Linked DNA regions of Neodiprion lecontei. The protein of the gene in region 1 interacts with the protein of each later gene in a pairwise test. Links are inferred from orthologs where the notes say so. Each region holds a gene or a part of one and is shown in the gene's direction. Other genes may lie near its edges. The genes, in order: protein suppressor of forked and cleavage stimulation factor subunit 2.

Evidence for each region.
Region 2: the proteins of protein suppressor of forked (region 1) and cleavage stimulation factor subunit 2 interact in a two-hybrid assay, tested with the Drosophila melanogaster proteins (2 studies listed by BioGRID). The link is inferred for Neodiprion lecontei from reciprocal best matches to the Drosophila melanogaster genes su(f) and CstF64.

The regions. Positions count from the first base shown.
Region 1 is NC_060263.1:28,266,569-28,271,784, reverse strand, and holds the start of protein suppressor of forked, read left to right. Parts: upstream 1-1,979; 5' UTR 1,980-2,297; coding exon 2,298-2,321; intron 2,322-2,643; coding exon 2,644-2,835; intron 2,836-3,065; coding exon 3,066-3,098; intron 3,099-5,216. Other genes in the region: uncharacterized protein LOC107222830, read left to right, coding at 1-18; cytochrome c oxidase assembly protein COX20, mitochondrial, read left to right, coding at 1,127-1,462. UniProt on the Drosophila melanogaster protein: Essential protein, may play a role in mRNA production or stability.
Region 2 is NC_060260.1:6,245,964-6,251,282, forward strand, and holds cleavage stimulation factor subunit 2, read left to right. Parts: upstream 1-1,534; 5' UTR 1,535-1,673; coding exon 1,674-1,734; intron 1,735-1,829; coding exon 1,830-1,908; intron 1,909-2,130; coding exon 2,131-2,702; intron 2,703-2,875; coding exon 2,876-3,047; intron 3,048-3,120; coding exon 3,121-3,147; intron 3,148-3,221; coding exon 3,222-3,319; intron 3,320-3,767; exon of another isoform or gene 3,768-3,793; coding exon 3,794-3,984; intron 3,985-4,196; coding exon 4,197-4,316; 3' UTR 4,317-4,506; downstream 4,507-5,319. Other genes in the region: WD40 repeat-containing protein SMU1, read right to left, coding at 1-523, 636-750, 857-1,000, 1,090-1,156, 1,224-1,249.

The DNA.
Region 1 (5,216 bases):
TTAACTAACTTTAACTAGCAGCAAAAACAAAACAAATTGAGATAGAAGAAGATTTTCCAAAAAGTCGCTTACCCATCGAGACTGTGTGCTTAACGCTGTATATTATTCCAGAATATCTAATTACCAGAAATATTACAAGTAAAATTACTTCATTTCTTTTTTTTATCTCGTGTCTTAAAGTGGCATCTTGTAGCTTTAATTAGTTTAAGCGTTGGGCTATATTTGTACAGACTGTTCTCATTCTATAGTAGCCATTATTAGTGCCTTCCGTAAGTAGTGATATGTATGATAGCAGTGATATAAGATGATATGATAAAATGTAAGTAGTAGGTAATCAAATGCATAGTGGAAAATCAAAGGCAATTTAAGATATAGTATAGAATACAAATGATGTATACAAACTTATAGCCAAAGTATATTTTCATAGACGGAATGAGCATAACAAAGGTTAGTTTGACCAGTGTTGAAAAAACTTTGTTCCCTTTAATTAATTACTATTATCATACTCAAGTGGCACAATGTTTTTTACCTGATAAATTACGCTAATTGTAAGTGATGTTAATTTTATTATTATTATAATCAGTTTTTTTTTTTTTGTTATTGCCATTACTTACTCATACTGTGATTATTTATTTCATACTATTCTATCCACATGTCCTTCTTTGTATACATTCTATAAAAGAAAAACTGATTTGCTATATGAAAATAAAATGTTGATATCATAATGTCTTCTTGTTTATCTTAGCGATTCGATGGAACATATATACACTGAACAACGGTTGGAAGATCGGGCTCTGAACATTTACAGATAAATCTTGTAAAATTACCGTCACATATGCTAAACTGGAAAAAACAGTCTTCTGGATCAAATTTAGGCGCGCTTGCTGCTACTATTTGTCGTTGACTGAAGACTCTTCAGTCAACGTATTTGTCAAAGCTGGGGTGGCGCTATTTATCGGTCGTATTTCCGCGCGGCGCAAGACAGTGTGATTCGCATCATACAGAGGCCTCTAGTCTAGTCGAGGTTACGTAAAACTTAACTTGCCGTCGCTGCAACGCTTTTCGGCCTCTGTCAAGTAACATAAATCCAATATATTTTGAGAATATATAACGTACTCCGCATGCGATGGACGAAGAAGACGATCACAAGCCGCTGATGTTATTCGGGAGAGACGTTACAAGGATTCCATGCTTCAGAAATAGTTTCCTATCCGGAATAACCTGCAGTATTGTCGGCGGCTTAGGTACGTTCATGTTTACCAGCAAACCGAAACTCGCCTCGCACATCGGCATGGCCACCTTCGTCGGCTCGACATGGAGTTACTGGGTTTATTGCCGGTATACGTGGTCCAAACAACAGATCGAGGTGGCTAGACTGCAGGAGCTCATCGAACAGCACGCTACCTACGCAGGGACGCCGAAGGAGAAGGAAATTGACAGATTGCCTCTGGTGGATGCGTGAAAGTTTTGACAATGTAGAACAATGAATAGTTGATTATTTATAGTCATCATTATCGTTATTTTTTTATAGGTTATACAGTGTGATAATAGCATGTTAACAGAGAACGAAACATCGTTGTTTTCACCTCCACATTTCTTTAATTAAAACGTATTTTAAACTGAGGAAAATACCCAATACACGATCTATCACTTACACCCCAGAATAATTGAATTTCAAACTTTCCTGTTCTTGTGACGATTTATAATATTCTTCTTGGCTTGGTGATTATTATTCAAGTCTATGGTCTATTTTTCAAAGATAATTGAGACCGTATGTCCGGTATTTTCGGCTCAGGCTATGAACGGTACAGGTAAAGAGAAATGAGAAATCACGTGAATGGGAATGGTGCTCGTCAGAGTCATAAGCATGGTCATAAGCAATAAGGGTCATAATTTGATTGGCGCTTAGCAATCAGGGTTCAATGTGATTGGCGCTTTGTGGAACTTTTGCTGCAGCAATGCCATCTTAATTTACGTCTACTGCACGGACACTTTGTACAGAGAGAACCTCTTTGTATATCCCTCGTATACATGGTATATGCTTTGGTACAGGCTGCCTGTTTTATCGGCAAGTCACGAGCAGATTCAGAATAACCGGAAGAGGTCGCGCTTCTGTGTGGTTTCGAAGGGTCGAGTTGCATCGTACTTGTATCGAATCAAGTAGTGGATAAATAGTTGAATAGTGCGTAGTGGGTACCGACGCGGGGTTTGGATAATCTTAGGAAATAACAATTTATTTCCTACGTTATTTTTCAGAGATATACGTGTAGGATACCAGGCCACTGATCCTAAGAATCATGTCTGGAGAAAAAACTGAATTTGTACGTATGAATTATTGTACCGGCAAACTGCTGATTTTTGTCTGCAACATAACCTAATCCCAAACCTAACCTTACCTCGCCTAATTTCACTTCTTAGATCGGAATGCCCGACTTATTTATCGAGTTGACGGATTACCGAAAAACTGTAGCTTTTTCCTATTCTTTTTTGTTTCTGTTGCTGATATTAGTCTTTATTGAACTAGAATACGATTCTAGTTTATTCTTTAAACTGTGTTTCTTCCCACATTACAGTTTAGAAATTCTCATTTCGTATGACAAAAACTTCAACAAAAACATGTAAGACAAGTTTAAATGATTGCAGGATTGGGGAAACGAAAAACTACAACGGGCTCAGAAAACTGTCGAAGAATCGCCGTACGACTTAGAAGCATGGAGTATATTGATTAGGGAGGCTCAAAACAGACCGATCACCGAAGTGAGATCCGTATTTGAAAAACTTGTCAACGTGTTCCCATCAGCTGGTCGTTACTGGAAAATATACATTGAGCAAGAGGTAATCGTAGCTGTCATTTACACCTGTCAAAATATAGGCAGTAAAATTGTGCACGACGTAACGTTGAATTATGGCAAACCCTTATTCATCCTCATAGCTGATAGTCATCGTATGTATTAATGGATTTGTTTTCACATAAAATACAGCGTTTATAGGCTAGTAGTAGTTCGTTGTCAAATAATATTTACGACTTGTCATTGTATAATTGTATGATATGTACTTGGTTTCAGATGAAAATGCGCAACTTTGAGAAGGTGGAAAAGGTATGTTCACAATATTTGTCTGGATTACCAACTTGATTCTGAATAATTTGTGTTGTGGTAGTTTCATGTTGGTTTTCACTTGTTATATAATATATACATGTATGTACATGTTGTTCAGTTAAAAAGTTTAAAAATGTCTACAGAAATATTCATAACCAAAAATTCGGGTGAAGTATGAATTTTTTTCATTTCACTATTACTGAGAAGGTATGCTAAATTGTTAGGTTCTGTATTGAATACAATATCTAAATTTTCCTCGCTTCGACAATATTATGATTAACAATGATGTGTTTGTGATTGGGCAAATAAAATATTTTCAAATATCGGAGTTTTATTTATATATCAACCAGTGAACAAAATCTTAAATACACAGGGTTTTCATAAAGGTTTCTCGGTATATATTTTTAGCAAAGTAAACCAGAGTTCAATAAACCAGTTGCTACAATAAATTGATTCAGGTGGTTTTTCTTGCATAGTTAATAATATATCAAAGTAATTATAAATTCACATTATTATGAAAAACGGTATCATTTATTTTAGGTTCAAAAGAAGTTGTTAAACCGTTATCACTCTTTAAATATAAACCTTCGGAAAGTAATAAATATTGAAAGAATATCCGTCTAATTTCACGTAGCAAATTTGATTTTGAGTATTCAGAACTTTTTCGAGTATCCTGTTACAATTGTAAACAATTATTTTCATCTTTGGTGTCACAGGGAAAGCTTGATATCTTGCTCCACCTCCATTTATGATCTGGACCGCGTTATCGCATTTATGGGAATTCTTTGGCAGCGTGAATCTGATTTGCAATAACAATTGGTACATAGTATTTATATTGGCTGAAATAAATAAAGGCCATGCTTATGCGTTGAACAGATCTAAGATTTCGCCACCTTCGAACATCCAAACGAATCTGTGTCTTCGAGGTATTTCACAATTTACCATTTCTGATAATATTCAATCTTCAATGCTTCGTGTGCAGCAAGATGTCGAGTTTTTACCGTATGTTTTCTTTCCTGGGTTAAAGTGATAACAAAATATCAACATTGAGTAAATTTGAGGCACATATGCAGCTCGACTGGTTTATCACAGGTTTCCATGTACTTAGTTTCTCAGGGTTAAATGGTCATTTTAATCCTGTGACGGAGCACATTCTATGCATGCCTGAATGCCTGTTGCTGTCTGCCGAGTGTGATGAGTTATATTATGATTGGTGAGAGATAGGTGTATGTGAAGCGAATAATTAAATACTTATAAAGTCGTAATTATTGAATATCAATGCCGGGACATATGTAGTCATGCATTTAACTGAACAACCCTTTGCATAGGAATACAGATGATTTGCTGTCAGTATAAATGGTATTTTAATCCGTCATAACAAGATACTATCATTTTATGTGATGCTGAGCACTTTACATGATACATGTGAGGTGAATAAAAAAAAATTTATTTCACCACAAACAAGCAATAACTTATTTCATTGATAAATTACTGCTGTGTTCAAACAATCGGGAGGTCAGTTTTGTCGGTAAACTCAAAGTTTTGCATGCCCCAGTTTTAGATTAATTGACGCGAATCCCAAGTATTAGAAAAAATTTTACATGTATCGACAAAGGTGACTTTCTGAATGTAACAGCCTTATATTCCTTCCTGCTACATATTCTTGGGTCTCGATTAGGTCACAGGTTGAAATTATCAACTGTACTTCTGGTAGAATAAAGTCAAAAGGTAAAAATGAAAATTTAGCTTGTACTCTAATCTTCCAAAATTCATAGATCACTGCAATTCTTTTGTTGTGTAACTGCCTCGTACAATATTCACCCTATTTTGACTTATTTCAAGTAAATAATTATTTTCGTAAACTGATATGTTGTAGTTTCAGCGCAATAAATGAATAAGCTTTGAATACAGTGAAACTTTGAAGAGATAAATAAAAGAGCGTAAATACAAAATGAAGAATCTTTTTAGTCTGTCCAATCCTTCTTTTATTTTGATACTCAACATATTATTCGTGGAGTAAACATGCGCATTTTACGTCAATATTACTAGTATCAGATAAATTCAATTCTGTGACCTATTCGGTTAATAAAAGCACACTTGTGCATCGGGATTTCCTTT
Region 2 (5,319 bases), on another chromosome or scaffold:
CGCCAAACTTTCATTTTCCCGTCTTGGCCACCACCGGCAAGCATTTCGCTATCGCGGCTAAATGACATTGATAAAACGGCTTGTTCCATCATCATGAAGTTATCCTGTGCCTGGTACTTCAAGTCTTTTCGTATTTTTCCAGTAGTAAAGTTCCACACCTCTATAAACCCGTCGACGGAGCCTGTTACCAAATATTGTCCATCTGGTGAAAATCTCGCACACTCAACATGTGACTTTTGCCCAAACTTAATTTGCTTAGATAACTGAGTTGGGTATTTTTCATCTTCCTGATCTCGAACAGCTGCTTTGCCTCTGAACAAATCTATGGTTGTGCCAGGAGGCAAGAGCCCTTGGTGCTGCTGCCATTTCAAAGCTTGTCCGAGCAAAGCTAGCAGCCTGCTGGATGGTACGACTGATACTTCACCCGCCAAAGCAGTTGCTATATGAGCTCTTCGCTTTTCCTTTGTACTTCCATCAGGGTATGCTTCCCTTGGGTCAAAGTAGGACCGTGCCAAAAGATTTTCTGGAGAAAAGTGGAAGGTGAGAAAAATTATTCAATTGAAAATTAAATAAACATCTGTAGCTTGTCAGTTAAGAAACTAGTTATGAAAGTTGTATTAGTTATTCTGTTTTACCAAGATGGATGTATCTTTCAGGTTCCTGCTGCTTCATCATTATCATCGGGTCAGTTTGCCTCAGCAGAGATCTAGCTGCGCCCAATTCTCTTAGTTCAATTAGTTCTAAAACAACCTGTGAATAAACATTTGTGATATCGGATTTCTGTTATAAGTTTGACAGTTCACCTGACTTTCTGCGTCTTTGAAAACATATGTAAACAATGAAAGTTGTTAAATACCTGTTCGTACAAATCAATGAGTTTTTTATCAGGCAATTTGAGGGACTGTGTCGCTTTAAGCACAGTATCCCAATGTCCATTGTTAATATCCGTAACAAATCCGTCAACGCTGTCAACTGTATTCAACGAGACACCAGTTTCCTCCTGGTTAAGTATTTAGAGGATTAAATTAACAGTTTGATCAATTAACAAGGAGTATTTCCTCGTAGGATTATGAATAAATTTAATATTACCTGCAAGGTTTGTAGTGTTTTTACAAGATTAGACTCCTTCAAGTACTGTTGAATCAGTCGTATAACACTGAAATAAGAAGATATTGTAGTTTGATCGGGACTAATAATTAATTATGTACAGAGTAGATACGTACTCAGCGGATTCAATTTCGATTGACATTTTTACGAGCGAACAACTATTTATTTACTTGCTGTCACAATGTTTACTTCGGTCAAAAGTTTAATACCATCCTAACCCTAAATAGCAGTCGGTAATAGAATGGCAGGCACTTGATATCGCGGCATTAAGTGCGGAACAACGTAGACGAGCGTTTCAGTAGTTGCAGAAAATTCCGCTAGGAAGACAATCATCAGTATCTATCTAAATATCTAGTCAATGACTTCGTTCCGTGGAAATATTATTATCAAGTTTATTATCAATTTAGTTTTGAATAACCCACGGTGTTCTTGTTGCATGTTGATTGATGTTGATCACGTTCGAATGAAAACACCTGTCTTCTGTCCTTCGGGTGACAAACGTTAATGTATCGTTCGAATTCGAGCAATAAACAAAATCTGTAAATTCGTAAATAAAAACAGCAAAAATGAGTAATTCAACTATTTCAGATCAATCCCTGATGGATAAATCAATGCGGAGTGTTTTTGGTAATTATGAATTAACTTTTTTTTGAATTATAACGCAATGAATTGTTAACCGGATAATTCAGTCGCCCAAAAATACGATTGCAATTAATTTTCAGTCGGAAATATTCCGTATGAAGCAACAGAGGAGAATTTAAAGGACATATTCAGCGAAGTTGGACCAGTTCTCTCATTCAAGTAAGTATGCTCCGTAACGTTCTTTACCCTAACCTCAAACAGTCTTTTATTGTGAAACAAAAAAAAAAATTCAATTACTTTACAGGAATTGGCAGGAAAAATCCATTAAAAAGTTTAAATTTATCTAACACTTTATTAGCATCTCATTATTTCCATAGTGAAAAATACTTATTATTGATTTATTTTGAAACTTGTGTATATCTTTTCGTATCTTTTTCTCAGGCTGGTTTTTGACAGAGAAACTGGAAAGCCGAAAGGATATGGATTTTGCGAGTATAAGGATCAAGAGACAGCGCTTAGCGCAATGCGTAACCTGAATGGCTATGAAATAGGTGGAAGGACACTGAGAGTGGACAATGCTTGCACAGAAAAAAGTCGGATGGAAATGCAAAGCCTGCTTCAGGGACAGAACACTGAAAATCCTTATGGCGAGGCAGTTCAAGCAGACAAGGCACCAGAGGCTATAAGCAAAGCAGTTGCATCGTTACCTCCTGAACAGATGTTTGAATTGATGAAGCAGATGAAGCTATGCGTGCAAAATAATCCAAACGAAGCACGACAAATGCTACTACAGAACCCGCAGCTTGCTTATGCCTTGCTTCAGGCCCAAGTTGTGATGAGAATTGTCGACCCTCAAACTGCAGTCAATATGCTACATAAAGCCAACCCGATTCCTGGTGTTATTTTACCAAATGATAAGCCACCGCTGCATCCTATTGTTCCAAGAATCGAAGAACCCTGGACTCCTAGACCTGCACCCACACCAGTTAATCCACCTGCTCCAATTTTTGCAGGTGAATATAGCCAGATTTCCTGATACTCATTTCAAATATTTATTCTCAGAAAGTCATTCGTCGTGACCCAATTTTAGTGGAACTTAATTTTTTTCTGTAATTTACCCATCGAGTATTGACTTTTAGGTTGAAAATTCAATTATATGATTTCTAATTATTCATTAAATTTATAGGGCAGGATGTGGATCTGCGTACTTTAGATAGACAAATTGATCCAAGGCTGGCTAGAATGGATCAAGACTTACGAGGGCCACCCCAAGTCCCTCCTGTTCCTGTCAGCGCTCCAGTTATAGCTCCTCCATCAGATCCCAGAGCTGTATCACAGAGCTTTGCTCTTCCAGAACCGTTAGTATAATTATAAATTGGGTTCTGTTTCCAATGGGATATTAAATAATCAATAATTTGCGTTCTTTTACAGCACTCTTCCAGCGGAGGGTATAGAGAGGTGTTACTATTATACTTGTCGTGAATGTAGCCCAATAACTTATCATTGTTCGGTAACTTCAATATTCGTTCTAGTTTCGGTCGTGATCCGAGAGCTGACAGATTCGGACGAGAACCACGAGACCCACGTGACCCTAGGATGCCAGTTGATCCTCGAATTCCCAAAATTAATCGTAAGCATCAAATCAGAGTTTTAATTTCCACTATTAACTTATCAGAACTCAGTGCTAGCAGTAACTTTTGTGAAAAAGTGATTTTCTAAGTAACTGTCGAAAGTTGCATGAGAATTTGAAGATGGTTCCTGGTTATGCATATCTACTGTAAAATTTGAAACGATCACGATTAGATGAAGAGATACATTCTCCTCATTCATATAATTTCATTCTGAAGAGTTTTTTCATATAGTTTGTGGATTATGATTAAAAATCGAACGCATAGAGATGTATAATTTATTTCATTCTTAAAGAAGATTTTAAGATTCGCTTGTACAGTATCGTTCGCTATTGCGGCAATGCATTATGCTATGCTGTTGACTTACCCTCGCCACATTTCATGAGATAAATTTAACTCTGATTACGATTTAGTTTCGTGTTCCTTTAACGAGATTATGAATTTTTCCAGATCAATTCTTGTTTGTGATGTTACAGCACCGGCTCCTGGGGTCACGTCTGTCGCACCCAGACCCATTGTGGCAACACCGGTGCCACCCCCTACAACAAGTGGTATTAACCCTACTAATCCACTGAGTCTCTCAACACCCAGTACTGCTACCTCAAGGTTAATGGCGGGGATGTCGCCTGCTGGTAACATTCCAAGTGGTGCTTCTGACCAGGAAAAGGTACTAAAGACTTTCCAATGTTCAAATTTACAATGTCATAGTATGTGATTTTATGAAAGGCTCCTGCTATGTAAGCCTTCCCTGCACTCACCAAAAGATTAGACTGTTGACCTAACTTCATCTAAGACGTGAAGAATATAAACATATTACAACTTTTTGTGTCTTTACATGTATATAACATTTCTTGAAATTGTTTTCATTCTATGTTACAGGCGGCATTGATCATGCAAGTGTTACAATTATCAGATGAGCAGATTGCTATGCTTCCTCCGGAACAAAGGCAGAGTATCCTAGTGCTCAAAGAACAAATAGCGAAAAGCACTCAACGTTGAGAACATCTTCTCACGGAATGATAATAATTGTATTTTACACGAAAAAAACTCATCAATTTTAATATTTAAGTATGTCACTGAACATTATGTTGGGTGTACTAGGTCTAGATTGTTTAAGATTCAATATGTTTCATTATATTACCTGACTTGTCTAAGCAGAGGGTGTGAAAATAAAAATTTGATTAACTGACGTGCGATTTTTTGTAAATATCATGATGATTTTGTGAATACGAAAACTCTGTATACACCACTTGACGAGAAGCACAGATTTTCTGGCAAATAACGTCTTGAAATTTCAAAACGAATTAAAATAGTGGTTAAAAAAAGGTTGGTAGAACCGGCCTTATGTGCGCAGAAGGCCGATGATTTCTAGGTTTAGTTGAACAGCGTATGACGTTGACTCCTGTCTATGGATTCAATCTACTACGAATTTTTTTCAAAATAAACCAAAAACTGGTTTTTTTGGTCACGAAATCTCTTATTAATCAATCCGATCTCAACCTCCGATTGTTGCACTGATCTGCTGAAACTTGGAAACCATTGGTCGCAGCTTACCGGAACTATGTGCAATTATGTTCTCTCGCAAGGTTGCGTCCAAATGGTGCATGAAAGATGCAACATTATTTGAAATCTGCCACATTTCAACGGAAAAATTTCAAGCAGTTTTTGAAGCGAGAATGTTCATTCTCAAATTCGATTCAAAGGATCCTTATAAGACTAATTGCCACAATTAATTTATTCCAGCACTTTTCAAAATCGCGAAAATTTTCGCCAAAAATGCAAAGGGGTTAGCCTTCCTTTTTTTTTGACCAAAAAATTTTTCGTCTCAGAATTGATTCGTATGACTCTTTCCCGACCAATTGGACCCCAAGGAACTCAGAAAACGCAGCAAAAGGAGCGTGGGATCAACGGGTGAGAAGATACGAGGAAAAAAGCACCTGCTGAAAAATGTCGAAAATTCAGGATTTTGTTTTTTGGCTGTAACTTTCGATGCGTTGATCGC